Pelodiscus sinensis: one gene and its partner. The protein of the gene in region 1 interacts with the protein of each later gene in a biochemical or structural test. Links are inferred from orthologs where the notes say so. Each region holds a gene or a part of one and is shown in the gene's direction. Other genes may lie near its edges.

Region 1 (7,653 bases):
AGCTCGATGATTCTATGACCTAACCTCCATGAGTTTATCTAGTTCTTTTTTGAACCCCGTTATAACCTTGGCTTTCATGACATTCTCTGGCAAAGAGTTCCACAGGGTGACTATGTGTTGTGTGAAAAAATACTTACTTCTCTTGCCTATTTATTTCCTTGAGTGACCTCCAGATCTTGTGCTGTGAGGTGTAAATAACACTTCCTTATTTGCTTTCTCCATGCCAGTCATGATTTTATAGACTTCTATCACAACAATCCAGCAGGGATGCAAAATTCATATCCACATTAGGGATGTAAAATCCTGGTTAAAAGCTAATGACCGGTTAAGCATAATGTGATTCTATGATGGGGGACTGCTCCAGCCAGGCTGGGCTCGAGCATCTCTCCCCCCAATGCAATGGGCCCAGACAGGCTGGAACAGCCCCCCATTATGGTGGTACATGGGTGAGGGGGCTGCTCCAGCTGAGCTGCTGGGCCAGAGCAGTCCCCTGCCAGTTAACTGGTTACTCTGGTATTTATGCCAGCAAGGGGCATGTAACAGGTTAACCCTTTACATCACTAGTCGGCATTTGCAGCCAGGGATGTGGATACCCGTAGATATAAAGTGGATTTCTGTAAATATGCAGGGTTCTAGATATAATGTTTGTATCTCCATTTGCAAAAAAGAGCTGCAGATCTCCACCTCCATATCCACAAATGCGAATACCCGCATAAATCCACAGATCTGAAGGTTTCTGCATATCAGCCCTTAGTTGTTTCATTTCCAAGCTGAAAAGTCTCAATCTTATTAATCTTTCCTCATAGGGCAGCTGTTCCAGACTGCTAATTATATTCCTTTCCTTTTTCTGAAAATTTTCCAATTCCAATATAACTTTTTTGAGATGGGATGACCATAAGTGCACTCAATATTCAAAATGTCGGCATATCATGGATTTATATAGTTGCAATATTATATTTTCTGTCTTCTTGTCTATCCCTCTTAATGATCTCTAACACTCTGTTCACTTTTTTGGACCTCTGCCGCACACTGAGTGGATGTTTTCAGAGAATTATCCACAATGATTCCAGGATCTGGTGACAAATCACTTAAACCTCATTTTATAAGTATATTTTCTTCACAGCTGTTACCATACAAAACATGTATGCAGCAGCAAATGCACAGGCTTCAGTTTGAAGCTGACGCTACATTTAATAGAAAAAGCACTACCTCAACCCAGACCAAGTTCCTTTGGGCAGCTCAGATGTTTTCAAATGAATGTAGCCTGAATGCTCAGCCTGTGACTTGGGAAGCATATTCCCTAAAACCAGAGGTTCCTATGTTTCTCTGTGCACAATCACAGTATTTCCCATTTAAACAATCCCACAATAAGCATTCTGTGCAGATGGACTGATTTGAAATAAAGTTACTCATTTAATTTTGGTGTTTCATAAAAAAGTTCCACAGTCCTGCCTTGAGTACAAAAGATGTGGTGTTCAATTATGTTAATTCAATCAAGTTAGCTTAACAGAAAAACAAAGCGTAAGCCTGAAACAGACCTCTAGAGGTCACTTAGTTCAGAACCCTGCGCTGAAGCAGGACCATTATCTGACAATCTCTGACAGGTGTTTGTCTAACCTGTTCTTAAAAACTTTCAATGATGGAGATTCCACAACCTACCTTGGGTAAGCTGCTCCTGTGCTTAACTTCCCTTACAGTTACAAAATGATTTCTAATGCCTAACCTAAATCTCTCCTGCCGCAATTTAAGTCCATTACTTGTCCTATCCTCAGGGGAGGAGCAGAACACACCACACTCCTTTTTACAACAAACTTTTTACACATTTGAACACTGTTATTATCCTCCACTCCCCTGTCTTCCATTATACAAAACAAAAATTCCAATTTTTTTTCCAAGGGTGGTGCCCAGAACTGGAAACAATACTGCAACTGAGGCTCAGTGCTATGTGGAAAAATTACCTCTCATGTCTTGCTTGCAACACTCCTACTACATCATCCCCAAGTGATGTTTGCTTTTTTTGCAATAGTATTACACCATTGGCTCGTATTTAGTTTGTGATCCACTATAACCCCAAGATTTTTTTCCCCTATTGTAGTCCATCCTAGGTAGTCATTTCCCATTTTTTATTTGTGCAACTGATTATTCACTCCTAAGTGTGATACTTTAGATTGGTCCTTGTTAAAGTTCCTCCTATTTATTTCAGACCATTTCTCTGGTTTGTTGAGACCATTTTGTGTTCTAATCCTGTTTACCGTCAATTACAGCTCCCATTGGCCACAGATCAGCCAATGGGAGCTGCGAAGGTGCACGTGAACAAAGCATCTCACGGCCAGTTAGTCATTTGCCCTTACAAGCCGCGACCCAGTGTCTGAAAACCCCTGCTCTATGCCACTATCCAATTAATTTACGACGATACTGAATAGAACCAGACCCAAAACTGATCCCTGAGGGACTCCATTTCAATCAATTTCCAGCTTGGCCGTGATCCATTCCTAACTATTCTCGAAGTGTGGTTTTCCAACCAATTACGCAACCACCTTTTAGGTCGGTTCATCGAGGCTACAGTTCTAGTTTGCTTATAACAGGTCATGTGAGAAAGTATCAAAAGTCTTATTACAATCGAGATATATCACCCCACTATTCAGCCCTATCCACAAGGCTTATTAATTATTAGGTTGATTTGAAATTTGTTTGACAAATGCATGTTGCTTATTACTTACCACTTTATGATCATCTAGGTGCTCACAAACTGATGGAATACTTGCTTCATTATCTTTCTGGGTTCCCAAATTAAGCAAATTGTTTATTCCCTGGATTGTCCTTATTCTCCTTTTAAGAGTTAGGTGCTATATGTGCCCTTTGCCAGTCCTCCAAGATCTCTCCCATCCTCCCTGAGTTCTCAAAGGTAATCGTTCATGGCTCAGATCTCTTCAGACAGCTCCTTCAGTATTCAAGGATGTATTTCATCAGGACCTGCCAACCTGAAGGCCTCTAACTTGCACAATGTGTTGGAAAAGACCTCTTAAGTCTCCTAAGACCTGGATTGGCACATCTGATAGCACTTTGACAACTAGGACCCAGATTATCATAGGTATTTCTGTTCCTAATTTCCATGAAAGTCAATTGAAAGTTAGTGGCCTACGTTTGAGACTCAGCACCCAGGTGACTAGCGGGAGGCTATTCTTCAAGCCTGTGAGCCTGCACTTTAGTTGTATTAAGCTAACTCAAAATACTTTAGGATATATTTGTCAATGGTCAGTGGTTACTAGCCTAAGAGACTTTCGACATGTCTCAAAGAAGATAAGTAGAGCAAACACAAGGGCTACTACATTTCAGCTGAGAGATCTTAGCTCCTTTACAATATGATGATAGTTACAGATGCTATAGTAGAAGAGTACGTAACCCATATGCTTTTTGCGCTAGTTCCCTAAAAGCATGTCCCCACCTCAGTTGACTAGAGATCTCACAACCCAATACAAGTTTTGCCTAACATAAGAGTTCTGAACTGGAAAAAAAGACAGGTTGGAGGAAGAAAAGTGGATGTGAAAAAGAGACAGTGTATGTGTGTGACAAAAAGCAAGATCTTAACAGTAGAGAGAATTAAACAAAGCAACCCTGTAAAGCATTCTATTAATGCATTTATTGGGATCTGCATGTTTCAGATTTTGGACAAGTTACATTACATTTTCAGATCCAAACATCACAGCTTTCCACACATGCACTTTTGCTCAGCCATTCATTATACAACAAACTAGAGAAAAGCTAAACAACTTTTTTTTGCACTCCAGTCACATCAGATAGTACCAAAAGAGTCAAATCAGAAGTGCTGGCTGCAATAATAATAATAATACAAAGTGAACTGCCTTGGAGATCACAGTATCCATCCATGAGGAAGGGTTCGTAGAGCTCAGAAAACACAGTATTGATGAAAAGAGGCACATGCCAACTACCGCAAAGCGTCACCTCTGGTGCTTTTCCGACGTGGGGGGGGGGCACTTTCTTACCTGGATATCTGCATCCGACACACCGAAGTCCAGATTAGAAACCAGGAGCTTCCCCCCGGTTTCCACGCCAGCCCCAGCCCCGAAGCCGCTATCGAACAGGTCGTGCTGCCACTTCTCGGGGAGCTGCTTTGGCTGAAACAGAACAAATCCCCTCAGCGACCAAGCCCCGCGGCCGGGCCCCCGCCACTGCGCTGGGGCTCGCGGCTCCTCGCCCCCTGCCCGCTGCGGCTGGGCGAGAACAAAGGGCCTCCCGCGGGCCCGGCCCCCAGCCCCGCCGGCCCCCGGGCCGGCCCCGGCCCCCGCGCGCCGCAATCCGGCCCGCGGGCCAGCCCCGCTCCGTACCCGGCTGTAGGGCGCGGGCCGATTCCTGCCGCCTCCCCGGGTCATGACCGGCCTGTTCCGCACGGGGCCGCCTCCTGCTCGGCCCGCGCCGGCGCTGCCCCGGCCGGGCCCGCCTCCGCGGCCGGCGCCCCCGCGCCCCCGGCCCCCGCGGCCGCCCCCGGCGCGAGCGCCCCGCTGGCTGCGGTTCAGCTTGATGATATCGTCCAGCGACATGTCCATCTTGTCGGCCATGATGGCGGCTCCGCTCCGGGGCCTGCACTTCCGGCCGCGCTGCGCCGACGCCGGAAGCGGAAGGGGCGGGCCCGGGCGCCAAGAAGGGCGCAGCCGCCTAACACGCCTCTCCGTTGGGCCGAGGCCGTGACAGCGGGGTGCCGGGGGCGGGACTTCCGGTACGCGGCCCTAGAGATTCCCGCCGGCCCAGCCAGAGAGTGTGAGCGGAGCTGCCGGAGCACGTGCCGGGGGGCGGGGGCCTGGCCCGGACAGATCCGGGGGGGGCTCCCTATTGGAAGGGGGGCTGGACAGATCGGGGGGGCTCCCTAGTGGGGGCTGGGCAGATCGGGGGGGCTCCCTAGTGGGGGCTGGGCAGATCGGGGGGGCTGGACAGATCGGGGGGGCTCCCTAGTGGGGGCTGGGCAGATCGGGGGGGCTCCCTAGTGGGGGCTGGGCAGATCGGGGGGGCTTCCTGGGGGGCAGGGGGAGCAGGAGAAATCTCAGGGGGACTCCCTAGGGCAGGGGGGGCTGGAGAGTTCCGGGAGGGGGCTCCTTAGGGGCGGGAGAAATCTCAGGGGGACTCCCTAGGGTGGGGTGGCTCTGTAGGGGTGGAAGAAATCCTAGGGGTGGGGCAGAGATCTGGGAGCGTTCCCTAGGGGCGGGGGGGGCTCCCGGACTGCAAAGAGAGGGGAGTGGGCAGAACTCTCTCAGGGTGGTGAAGCAGACAGAGATCGTGGAGCCCCATAGAGATCCTGAAGGGGGGGGCTTTGTGCAGTGCGCCCAGCAGCTGTGCAGTGTTGCGTTCCGGGTCGTGTGGCGCTCTCGGGGCTGCGGTGCGTTAGGTGTGTGCCAGTACCTTTCCCGTGGGGAGCAGGGAAGCCGTCCGGCCTCAGCCCTGGTCTGCAGTAATCAAGTGCCGAATGCTAATAGGAGTCGCGATCCATTTTCATTCCATGCCCGGAAACACAAGGGCACCTACGGTTCCTGATGTGCCCAGTGATGAGGCAGGGTCACTAAGCCCAACCTAGAAGATTTCAGATGAGAGGCTCCCTATGGCAGAGTTTCTATAGTAATGACTGAGCTATGGAGGAAGGGACAGTCCCATCTACATCCCACTTTGAACTGCCGCAGGGGAGGAAGCAGTGCTGACAGCCAAAGGAGATTGCATGGCCCCTGGGGATATAAGCTGTTTCAGCAGGGGAACCAACCTATGATTTACTCCTCTTAACACAACTAGGGGGTCACTCAATGAAGTTAATAGGCAGCAGGTTTACAACAAGCCAAAGGAAGTTTTTCTTCACAAAACACACAGGCTATGTCTACACTGGAGGCTTCTTGCGCAAGAATATCTTGCGCAAGGTTTCTTGTACAAGAAGTCTTGCACAAGAACACGTCCACACTGCCATGTGCGCGCTGTGCTTTTGCGCAAGAGCATCCCTGGCAGTGTGGACGCTCTCTTGCGCAAGAAAGCTCTGATGGCCATTTTAAACATAGGGCTTTCTTGCACAAGAAATCCCTGCCAAGTGTCCACGCTGACCTCTTGCGCAAGAGCTCCTGTGCAGAGGGCTTACACCTGTTAAAAAGGAGCGTAGCTCTTGCGCAAGAAGCCCTCTCTTACCACGCTGTACTGTAAATTTCCTTGCGCAAGAGCGGGCGGGCAGTGTGTATGCTCTGTGGATTCTTGCGCAAGAACAGCTACGTCTATGCTGTGCTGTCTTGTGCAAGAAAATATGCAAATGAGGCAAAGCGGTGAACATCGCTGCACCTCATTTGCACACTTAATGAGCCGCCATTTTGCGCAGCTCTTTTTTCAGGAAGAATGGCTTTTGCGCAAAAATGGTGGCTTATTAAGTATGCAAATGAGGCATAGCGATATTCACCGCTTTGCCTCATTTGCATATTTTCTTGCGCAGGATAGACGTAGCCACAGTCAACTCGTGGAACTCCTTGCCAGAGGATGTTGTAAAGACCAAGACTTTTAACAGGGTCAAAAAAGAGCTAGATAAATTCATGGAGGTTAGGGTCCATCAGTGGCTAAGAGACAAGATGGGCAGGGCTGGTGTCCCTGGCCTCTGCCAGAAGCTGGGAATGGGCGACAGGAGGGACCACATGATGATTCCCTGCTCTGTCAATTCCCTCTGGAGCACCTGGCATTGGCTCCTGTCAGTGAAGACAGGATGCTGGATTGGATGGACCCAGTCTGGCCGCTCTGATGTTCTAAAGGGTTAATGATAAAACTCAGTCTGAGTAGCTGCTTCTCATGCCAGGTGCTGACTTGACCCCCGGAGGCAGAAGCCGGCAGGATGAAGGTGAAGATAAAGAGCTGGAATGGGGTAGCCTCTTGGCTCTGGGTGGCCAATGATGAGAACTGTGGCATCTGCCGGATGGCCTTCAATGGCTGCTGCCCAGACTGTGAGTAGCCCAGGCCCTTGGCCCCCGGCCGGATTTCACCCCGGGGCGCCCTTCTCGCTCTCTCATGAGTTTTGTCCTTTTACAGGTAAGGTGCCTGGAGACGACTGCCCACTGGTGTGGGGCCAGTGCTCCCACTGCTTCCACATGCACTGCATTCTCAAGTGGCTGAATTCCCAGCAGGTCCAGCAGCACTGTCCCATGTGCCGGCAGGAGTGGAAGTTCAAGGAGTGACAGCCCCTCCCCCAGCCAGCAGATCTACTTGGATTTCACACGCTATTGCTAACGTGTTTTCTTGGGATTTAGTCTCCTCTCTCCAGACCCTGGAACAGTGAATTATTTATACAGCTTCTTGCATTTCCCTATCCCTTCCAGAGGAACCTTGCCCACAGACTGTTATGACTCACCATAGGCAAGAGGGAAGCCTGGGGCAGAGGGAGCATCTGAGTGGTGCATATTAACCTTTCCCGCAGAGATGCCGGTTCAACACGCTGTCACAGCTTTCAGCATTAATTGTTTCATCCTGATCTGAGACTGAGCATCCCACATGAGTTCATACACTTGAGTCTACGCAGCATGTGTGTGTGTGTCAGTAAAAAGCCCCTTTTGCCATGCAGACATGGATCTGTGGTTTGGGTGCCTTATTTAAAACACCCTGGACCTGATTGTTAAGACACGGCTTGTCCTT
Region 2 (7,192 bases), on another chromosome or scaffold:
TCCTCCTGGCCCACACGTGCAGTTCTGGGGGCAAGGCCATCGCAGCTTTTCCTCCGGAAGGCCGGGCTTGGAGGGGCTGACGTCCGCGTGGCTGTGTTGGCAGGGTTAGGCTGCAGGCAGAGCGCAGGGGCTGTGAGTCTCATGGGGCGATGGAGATGCCAGCCTCAGAGAAGTGGGCAGGCGTGACCGGCCTCTCTGGGGAGAGCAGGATCGCGTTAGGCTGTAGGCAGCCTAGCTTAGTAAAATCGAAGGCTGGCAGCTCCCGCCCCACAGGGTCTGAGCCAGGGTTGATTCAAACTCCAGCCTCTCAGCACAAGCCCCTGGGAATTCGGTGCTATTGGGTTTTTCTCCAACAGATGGAAGCTCAAGTCCTGTGAGCCAGTGCGGCGGGAGGGGCCGAAGGTACGGTGTGCAGCCGGCAGGCTTGGCCCTGGGCTTGGCTCAGCAGAGCTCTGTGGAGCCCCGCTTCTCCCTTTGCCTCTGCTGTGATCGTCCTGCCACCCACAGGGCCAGAGGCCAAAACCGCCTGAGGAGCTGCACAAAGATCTCGGCAGGCGAAGTGATTGGGCCCCAATGGCAGATGACATTGGCAAAGTAGGCATAGCAAGGGTGGGGAGCCATGTAGCTACAGCTGCTCAGGAGAGATCCTGGAGCCTCCGGACAGTTCTCTGGGAACATCCTCGCAGCAGCGAGCAAACGAGCAAACGAGCACATAGAATGTGAGGAGTCCTTCAAAAATGATAGAATAAGACAGAGAATATCTTATTGCCTCTGTATAAAACCAGGGGCTGCCCACATCTGGAATCCTGCGTCCAGACGTGGTCACCTCATCTCAGAGAAGATCTCTTGGCACTGGAAAAGGGCAACAAAGTGACAAGGGGTTTGCCACGGGTCCCGTATGGAGAGAGATTCAAAAGACTGGGGCTTAGGAGACTAAGGGGGGCTAGGATAGAGGTCATCGCCCATAGGGGGAGAGTGTGGGGCTGGGCAGAGGCCTTTGTTTGCTGTGCCCATGCCCACAGCCTGCGAGCAGTCCCCAGTGCAGCATCTGGCCCCCTCCTGACTGAGCTGTCCCAGGGCAGCGCGTTCTGCTGGGAGGGCCAGAGAACCGCCCAGCCTGGTCGATAGGTAGAGCTGTATTTTCCCTCCATGGAACCCTTGAGCCTGCAGCTAGTCAGACCCCCCTACCCCCCAAACCAGTGGGGCCCCTGCTGGAGTTTCCTCCAGAAATCTCAGGCTCCCAGAGCAGGTGCGGGATCTGTTGGGTTTCTAATCTCTGCCCCTTTCCCAATGGCACTGTAGTGGGATCCATCCCGACTGACTGAGTCCACGACTTTTGTGCTGGGATCCCGAGCAAACAAGTAAGGAGGCTTCGGCGGGGGGCGGGCTCTGTGCCCCGTGGGTCTGGGGGCGGGGGGCTGCTCCCTCCCGAGTCACATCTCTCTGTGCCGGAGCAGAGCAGGCGGGACACGGCTCTGGGGGGGAGGAAGCCTCCGTATCCCCCAGCTGAGCTGCCCTGCTGCACAGGCCTAACCCTACCCCCCCCCCCATGTTCCTGTTTCAGGGCTCTTGGGATGGGCGGGACCAGAGGGCGACTCTACATCAAGCACCCCCACCTCTTTAAGGTCAGTAATGGCAGCGCACCACTTCCTCCTTTGGGGTTTGCTCGGGGGGGGGGGGAGCTGTTGCTCGGGACATGCTGCGGTGGGGGAGGGGGACTGCTCCAGACGTGCTCTGGGTGGGGGAGGTGTGTGTTTGCGCTCGTACGTTCTGCCCTCCCCGCGTTGCTGGCTGCCCCCTGGGGCAGGGACTCCAGCTCGTTGTGGGTGGCAGCTCACACCAGAGCTGGCATCACACAGCAGCAGTCTGGTGTATTTGCCTGGCACGGGAGGCTTTGCTTTGAGGCGTAAGCAAGAGGGGGCCAAGTCCTTGTTCGTAGGCAGCTCTCTTCCTGGGAGGCATGGGGTTGCCCAGGTTTCCCCAAAGGCCTGGCCCTGGCCCTGTGTCTCTCACGGGCGTTGGCCCGTGGTGGGGCTACGGAGGGCACTGTGGGGCTCTGACCTGGCTGCTCTGTTGCAGTATGCGGCCGATCCACAGGACAAGCATTGGCTGGCAGAACAGCAGCACATGCGGGCCACGGGGGGCAAGATGGTGAGTGTGGCCCGACCTGGGTGGGGACGGGGAGAGAATCGGAAGCCAGCTCAGAATCGAAGGGTACAAATCAGCAGAAGCCAGGGATTCCAGGGTCCCCAGTGAGCTGACGGGCGCGTCCCAGCGCCATCTGTGAGGCTGCTCTCTGCGCCTCGTCTCCTGGGGCTCCAGCCCGGGCAGGCGTCCGTTGTGCCGTGGTGGCTGTGCGAGCGAATGCGGAGAGCCCACTTCCCCTGGAGTGGCGGGAGCAGTGCTGCTCACAGCAGGCCCAGTCTCTTAAGAGGTGTGGGGGGCGGGTGCTATGTAGAGAGCTGGTGCCAGCAGATCTGTCTGAGTAGCCCAGTGGAACGGCTCCAACCATCTCTCGTTTGCCCTTGCTGCAGGCTTACCTCCTCCTAGAGGAGGATATTCAGGACCTGGCTGCCAGTGACGATTACAGGTGAGGCGAGGAGCCAAGACTTAGCGGTGCTGACCTCTTGCCCTCTTTTCTTACCAAACCAACAGCTGGGGAGCGGAGGGGAGGGGGCCAGGCAGCCAAGCGACCCTGCCGAGGACTGTGCTCTGCCCGCTGGCCTTGTGCCCACACTCGCCACTGGGATGCGGCATCATGGGCACACACAGGCTGCTGAGCTCTCCTGAACGTTGGGGTTCTCCCAGGGCGTGGGGCTGAACTGTCTGTCCCTCCCCCCACGGTCACTCCTGTCTCCCGCTTGCTCGCCAGGGACTCTGTTGACTTGAAGCTGGAGGAACTAAAACCTTTTATCCCGCCTGCATGGATGACTGAAAAGATGCAGAAGTACATGGAGACGCTTCGCCGGGAAGGGGACCCGCAGCCTCCAGAGGGAACTCATGAAACATAAGAAGCCTCGCCCTCCCTCCCACACGGTGTCACGGCATGGACTGGCGCAGGAGCGTCCTCATTTTCCTGTGTTTCACAAGGCAGAGGGGCTGTGGTTTCAGTGGCCTGGGTACCAGCAAGCTGCCCCCAGGGGAAAGCAGGGTAGCAGCTGTAATTGAACCTCCTGGGAGCTGTTGGGGCCAGTCCCCTAATTGGTGGTGGCTGGCACAGAAAGCAGAGTCACTGGCGGTTTCCTGCTTCTCATCAGAGCTGAGCTTTCGCTTGTGTGAACTTCCTGTTTTGGATCCTCTCCCTGTACAAACTGATTTGTAATAAATACACCTGCTGTGTCTATGCAAAGGCATTTACTGGGGGGGGGTCGCTGTCCGGGAAAAAGGGTGTATGGACCTGTTGCTTACATGGAGCTAATGAGGAAGTGAGACCCCCCCACACACACACTTCTGGGAGCTGGGCAAGAGGCCCCAGGAGCTGCTCCTGCCTCCTTGGGGCAAAGTTTCTGTAGTAGAATTCCAGGCCTGCCCTATTCCAGCCGGGCTGCTGCCCTCCCTCAGCGTGAAAGCGCCGCCCTGCTTCCTGCTTGGGATTTCAAACCGCCTGCGGCCGGCGCATCCTGCCTGACCTAGTTCCTGGGGGGGGGGGGGGGGGGACAAGGGGTCGGCGCCCCTGGGGGGGGGACAAGGGGTCGGCGCCCCTGGGGGGGGGGGGTCAGCGCCCCGGCTCCGGGGTCCCCTCGCAGACACCCGGCAGAGAGCAGGGGCACTGGCGAGCGAGCTCTCGTCCTGCCGTGCACGCCCACGTGTAACACGCCCGCTGGTGCCTGCAGGAGTGTCACGCCCTTGCACACGCGCGTGTCTCACGAGTCCCTGCGCCCGCAGCCGTGTCTCCTCTCCCCCCCCCCCCCCCTTACACTTCAAGACACGGGGGGGGGGGGGCACGTGGCTGCAAGAGTCGCCGGCGCTGCTGGTTCCTGGCCCTTTAAAGGCCCGGCCCCGCCCCTCCGGCCGATTGGCTGTTGCGTGCCCACTCGCCGCCCAGCCCGGTAATTGACGGGCCGTCGGGCCAGTCCGGGGGCCGATCGAGCCGCAGGCCGGTTGCCAGGGCGATGCGTCTCCGGCGAGCCGCGATTGGCCGGCGCGGAGCGGAGGGGGCCGCTGATTGGCCGAGCGCCCGGAGGTTTGAAACATTCAAACGCGGCGCGGGCGCGGGAGGGGCAGCGGCTCCGCCATGGCCTCGCAGAACGCGGATCCCGCCCGGCCCCCCGCCCGCAAGGGGCCCGAGCCCGGCAGCGCCGCCACGCGCGGGCCCGTGGGCAGGAGGTGACCGGGGGGGCGAGACCCGGGGGGGGCGCGGGTCATTGGGGGGGGCGAGACCCGGGGGGGCGCGGGTCATGGGGGGGGCGAGACCCGGGGGGGGCCGCGGGTCATTGGGGGGGGGGCGAGACCCGGGGGGGGCGCGGGTCATTGGGGGGGGCGAGACCCGGGGGGGCGCGGGTCATGGGGGGGGCCGCGGGTCATTGGGGGGGGCGAGACCCGGGGGGGGCGCGGGTCATTGGGGGGGGGGCGAGACCCGGGGGGGGGCCGCGGGTCATTGGAGGGGGGCGAGACCCGGGGGGGGGCCGCGGGTCATGGGGGGGGCGAGACCCGGGGGGGGGGCCGCGGGTCATTGGAGGGGGGCGAGACCCGGGGGGCTGCGGGTCATTGGGGGAGGGGGAGAGACGGGGGGGGCTGACGGGGAGGGGGAGAGACCGGGGGGGGCTTCGGGTCATTGGGGGAGGGGGACAGACCGGGGGGGGCTGACGGGGAGGGGGAGAGACCGGGGAGGCTGCGGGTCATTGGGGGAGGGGGAGAGACCGGGGGGGGGCTGACGGGGAGGGGGAGAGACCAGGGGGGGGGCTGCAGGTCATTGGGGGAGGGGGAGAGACCGGGGGGGGCTGACGGGGAGGGGGAGAGACCGGGGGGGCTGACGGGGAGGGGGAGAGACCGGGGGGGCTGACGGGGAGGGGGAGAGACCGGGGGGGCTGCGGGTCATTGGGGGAGGGGGAGAGACCGGGGGGGGGCTGACGGGGAGGGGGAGAGACCGGGGAGGCTGCGGGTCATTGGGGGAGGGGGAGAGACCGGGGGGGCTGACGGGGAGGGGGAGAGACCGGGGGGGCTGACGGGGAGGGGGAGAGACCGGGGGGGCTGCGGGTCATTGGGGGAGGGGGAGAGACCGGGGGGGGGGCTGACGGGGAGGGGGAGAGACCGGGGAGGCTGCGGGTCATTGGGGGAGGGGGAGAGACCGGGGGGGGGGCTGACGGGGAGGGGGAGAGACCGGGGGGGGCTGCAGGTCATTGGGGGAGGGGGAGAGACCAGGGGGGGGCTGCGGGCTGCCCCGTAGGGGTGAGGGGACCGATGCAGGGACTGTGGGCCGCCCTGGGAGGGGGAAGTGGAGGGGGCGCTGCTGGCCATGCGCATGGTGAATTGGGGGGCTGCTGGCCACGCCCACTGACCTGAGCCCACTCTCCCCCGCAGGCTGCAGCAGGAGCTGATGACGCTGATGGTGAGCAGGCACTGCTGGATGCTGGTCCAGGCTGGGGGGGTTCTGGCCCGCCCCACCCCGCTCCCTGCGGGGGCTCAGCTGACTCCCAGAGGTCCCCCCCCACCTGAGCAGCCGGTCACAAGCGGACCCTCCCTGCCGCTGACACGGAGCGGGCGGGGGCCTGGGTTCTCGTCTGTCAGAAGGCTGGTGGAGCAGGGGCTCCCTGGTACCTTGGCGGGGGCTGGTCTCACCCTGAGGCTGCGGGGCCCATGGCAGGTGGCCCCAGGCCCACCCTGGGGTGCTGTGTCTGCTGCTGCAGCTCCAGAGCTCCTTTGGGCCCGGCCTGCTGAGGGGGAGGGCCGCTGTCCCCCTGTCCCCTTGTGCAAGCGCCCCCGGGGCTCGTAACCCTGCGCCCTCTCTGCTCAGATGGCTGGCGACAAAGGGATTTCTGCCTTCCCCGAGTCGGACAATCTCTTCAGATGGATCGGAACCATTGATGGCGCCGCTGGCACGGTGAGCCCAGGGGGGTTGGGCGGGGGGCAGGCGAGCGAGAGCCCCATGGGGTGGGCACTGAGGCTGGGTTTCTGCTTTGGGGCGCACAGGGGCCTGCGTTCACCGTGCTTTGACCTGCCTTGCCCTAGGTGTATGAGGACCTGAGGTACAAGCTTTCCCTGGAGTTTCCCGACGGGTACCCCTACAACGCCCCCACGGTCAAGTTCCTCACCCCCTGCTACCACCCCAACGTGGACACGCAGGGCAACATCTGCCTGGACATCCTCAAGGACAAGTGGTCTGCGCTCTACGACGTCCGGACCATCCTGCTGTCCATTCAGAGCCTGCTGGGCGGTGAGGCTGCGTGGGCTTCGCAGCGCCGAGGCTCTGGCTGCGCCTTGCCCGCGGGCTGGGCGGCATCGCGTCCTTGCGCCCCGTCTGCCCGCGTGCGCTCAGGGGCAGGGCCAGCGGTCGGGTGTGCGAGGCCTCCGCGCCTGGGCTCCTCAGCGCTGCTGTGGTAGACTGGCCGCTGCAGCTAGCCGCGGGGGGGGCAGGTGCGCGGGTGGAGTGGCGGGGGGGTGATGCTGCACAAGAAGCCAGCTGGCTCCTGGCTGCGCGCTGACGCTCTGTCTCTCACCCGCCAGAGCCGAACATTGAAAGCCCCCTGAACACGCACGCGGCCGAACTCTGGAAGAACCAGGCAGGTGAGTGTCTCCCGTCCGGTCCGCGCTCTGCTGGCTGAGCTGCCTTCAGACCAGCGTGGGTGACGTCACCCTCCCCAGGGACGGCCCCGGGGGCTCAGCCTGGCCCTGCCGGGACCGGGTGAGTTCCTGGGCCCTGCGAAGGCTGCTCTGGCCAGCCGCGTGCGCAGCCACAATGGCCGAGCGGAGAGCCCAGGCCGAGCGCCCCGGGGGCCTGGAGTTCGCTGCTCCCCACAGCTCTGCCCTCCCTCCCTCCCCAGCCTTCAAGAAATACCTGCAGGAAACCCACGCCAAGCAGGCGAAGAGCCAGGAGACCTGAGGCCTGCCTGAGCTGCAGCTGTCTGTCTGTCTGTCCGTCCGTCCCTGTCTGCGCTCTCTGGACCTGTCCTTGCCTGCTCTGTACAGGACTCTGTATCATAGGCTCTTTTCCATTCACTCTGGCGGTGGGGCCCGCAGCGACTGTATAAATAAA

What was found.
Region 2: the proteins of ANAPC11 (region 1) and UBE2C form a complex in vitro, tested with the Homo sapiens proteins (66 studies listed by BioGRID). The link is inferred for Pelodiscus sinensis from reciprocal best matches to the Homo sapiens genes ANAPC11 and UBE2C.

The regions. Positions count from the first base shown.
Region 1 is NC_134730.1:29,739,355-29,747,007, forward strand, and holds the start of ANAPC11 (anaphase-promoting complex subunit 11), read left to right. Parts: upstream 1-4,646; 5' UTR 4,647-4,776; intron 4,777-5,263; exon of another isoform or gene 5,264-5,398; intron 5,399-6,823; 5' UTR 6,824-6,859; coding exon 6,860-6,968; intron 6,969-7,053; coding exon 7,054-7,199; 3' UTR 7,200-7,653. Other genes in the region: ALYREF (THO complex subunit 4), read right to left, coding at 4,005-4,136, 4,347-4,577. UniProt on the Homo sapiens protein: Together with the cullin protein ANAPC2, constitutes the catalytic component of the anaphase promoting complex/cyclosome (APC/C), a cell cycle-regulated E3 ubiquitin ligase that controls progression through mitosis and the G1 phase of the cell cycle.
Region 2 is NC_134728.1:1,324-8,515, reverse strand, and holds the start of UBE2C (ubiquitin-conjugating enzyme E2 C), read left to right. Parts: upstream 1-4,191; 5' UTR 4,192-4,234; coding exon 4,235-4,326; intron 4,327-5,520; coding exon 5,521-5,548; intron 5,549-5,953; coding exon 5,954-6,040; intron 6,041-6,168; coding exon 6,169-6,373; intron 6,374-6,663; coding exon 6,664-6,723; intron 6,724-6,980; coding exon 6,981-7,039; 3' UTR 7,040-7,192. Other genes in the region: DNTTIP1 (deoxynucleotidyltransferase terminal-interacting protein 1), read left to right, coding at 357-402, 1,303-1,361, 1,565-1,625, 2,080-2,151, 2,535-2,590, 2,873-3,011. UniProt on the Homo sapiens protein: Accepts ubiquitin from the E1 complex and catalyzes its covalent attachment to other proteins. In vitro catalyzes 'Lys-11'- and 'Lys-48'-linked polyubiquitination.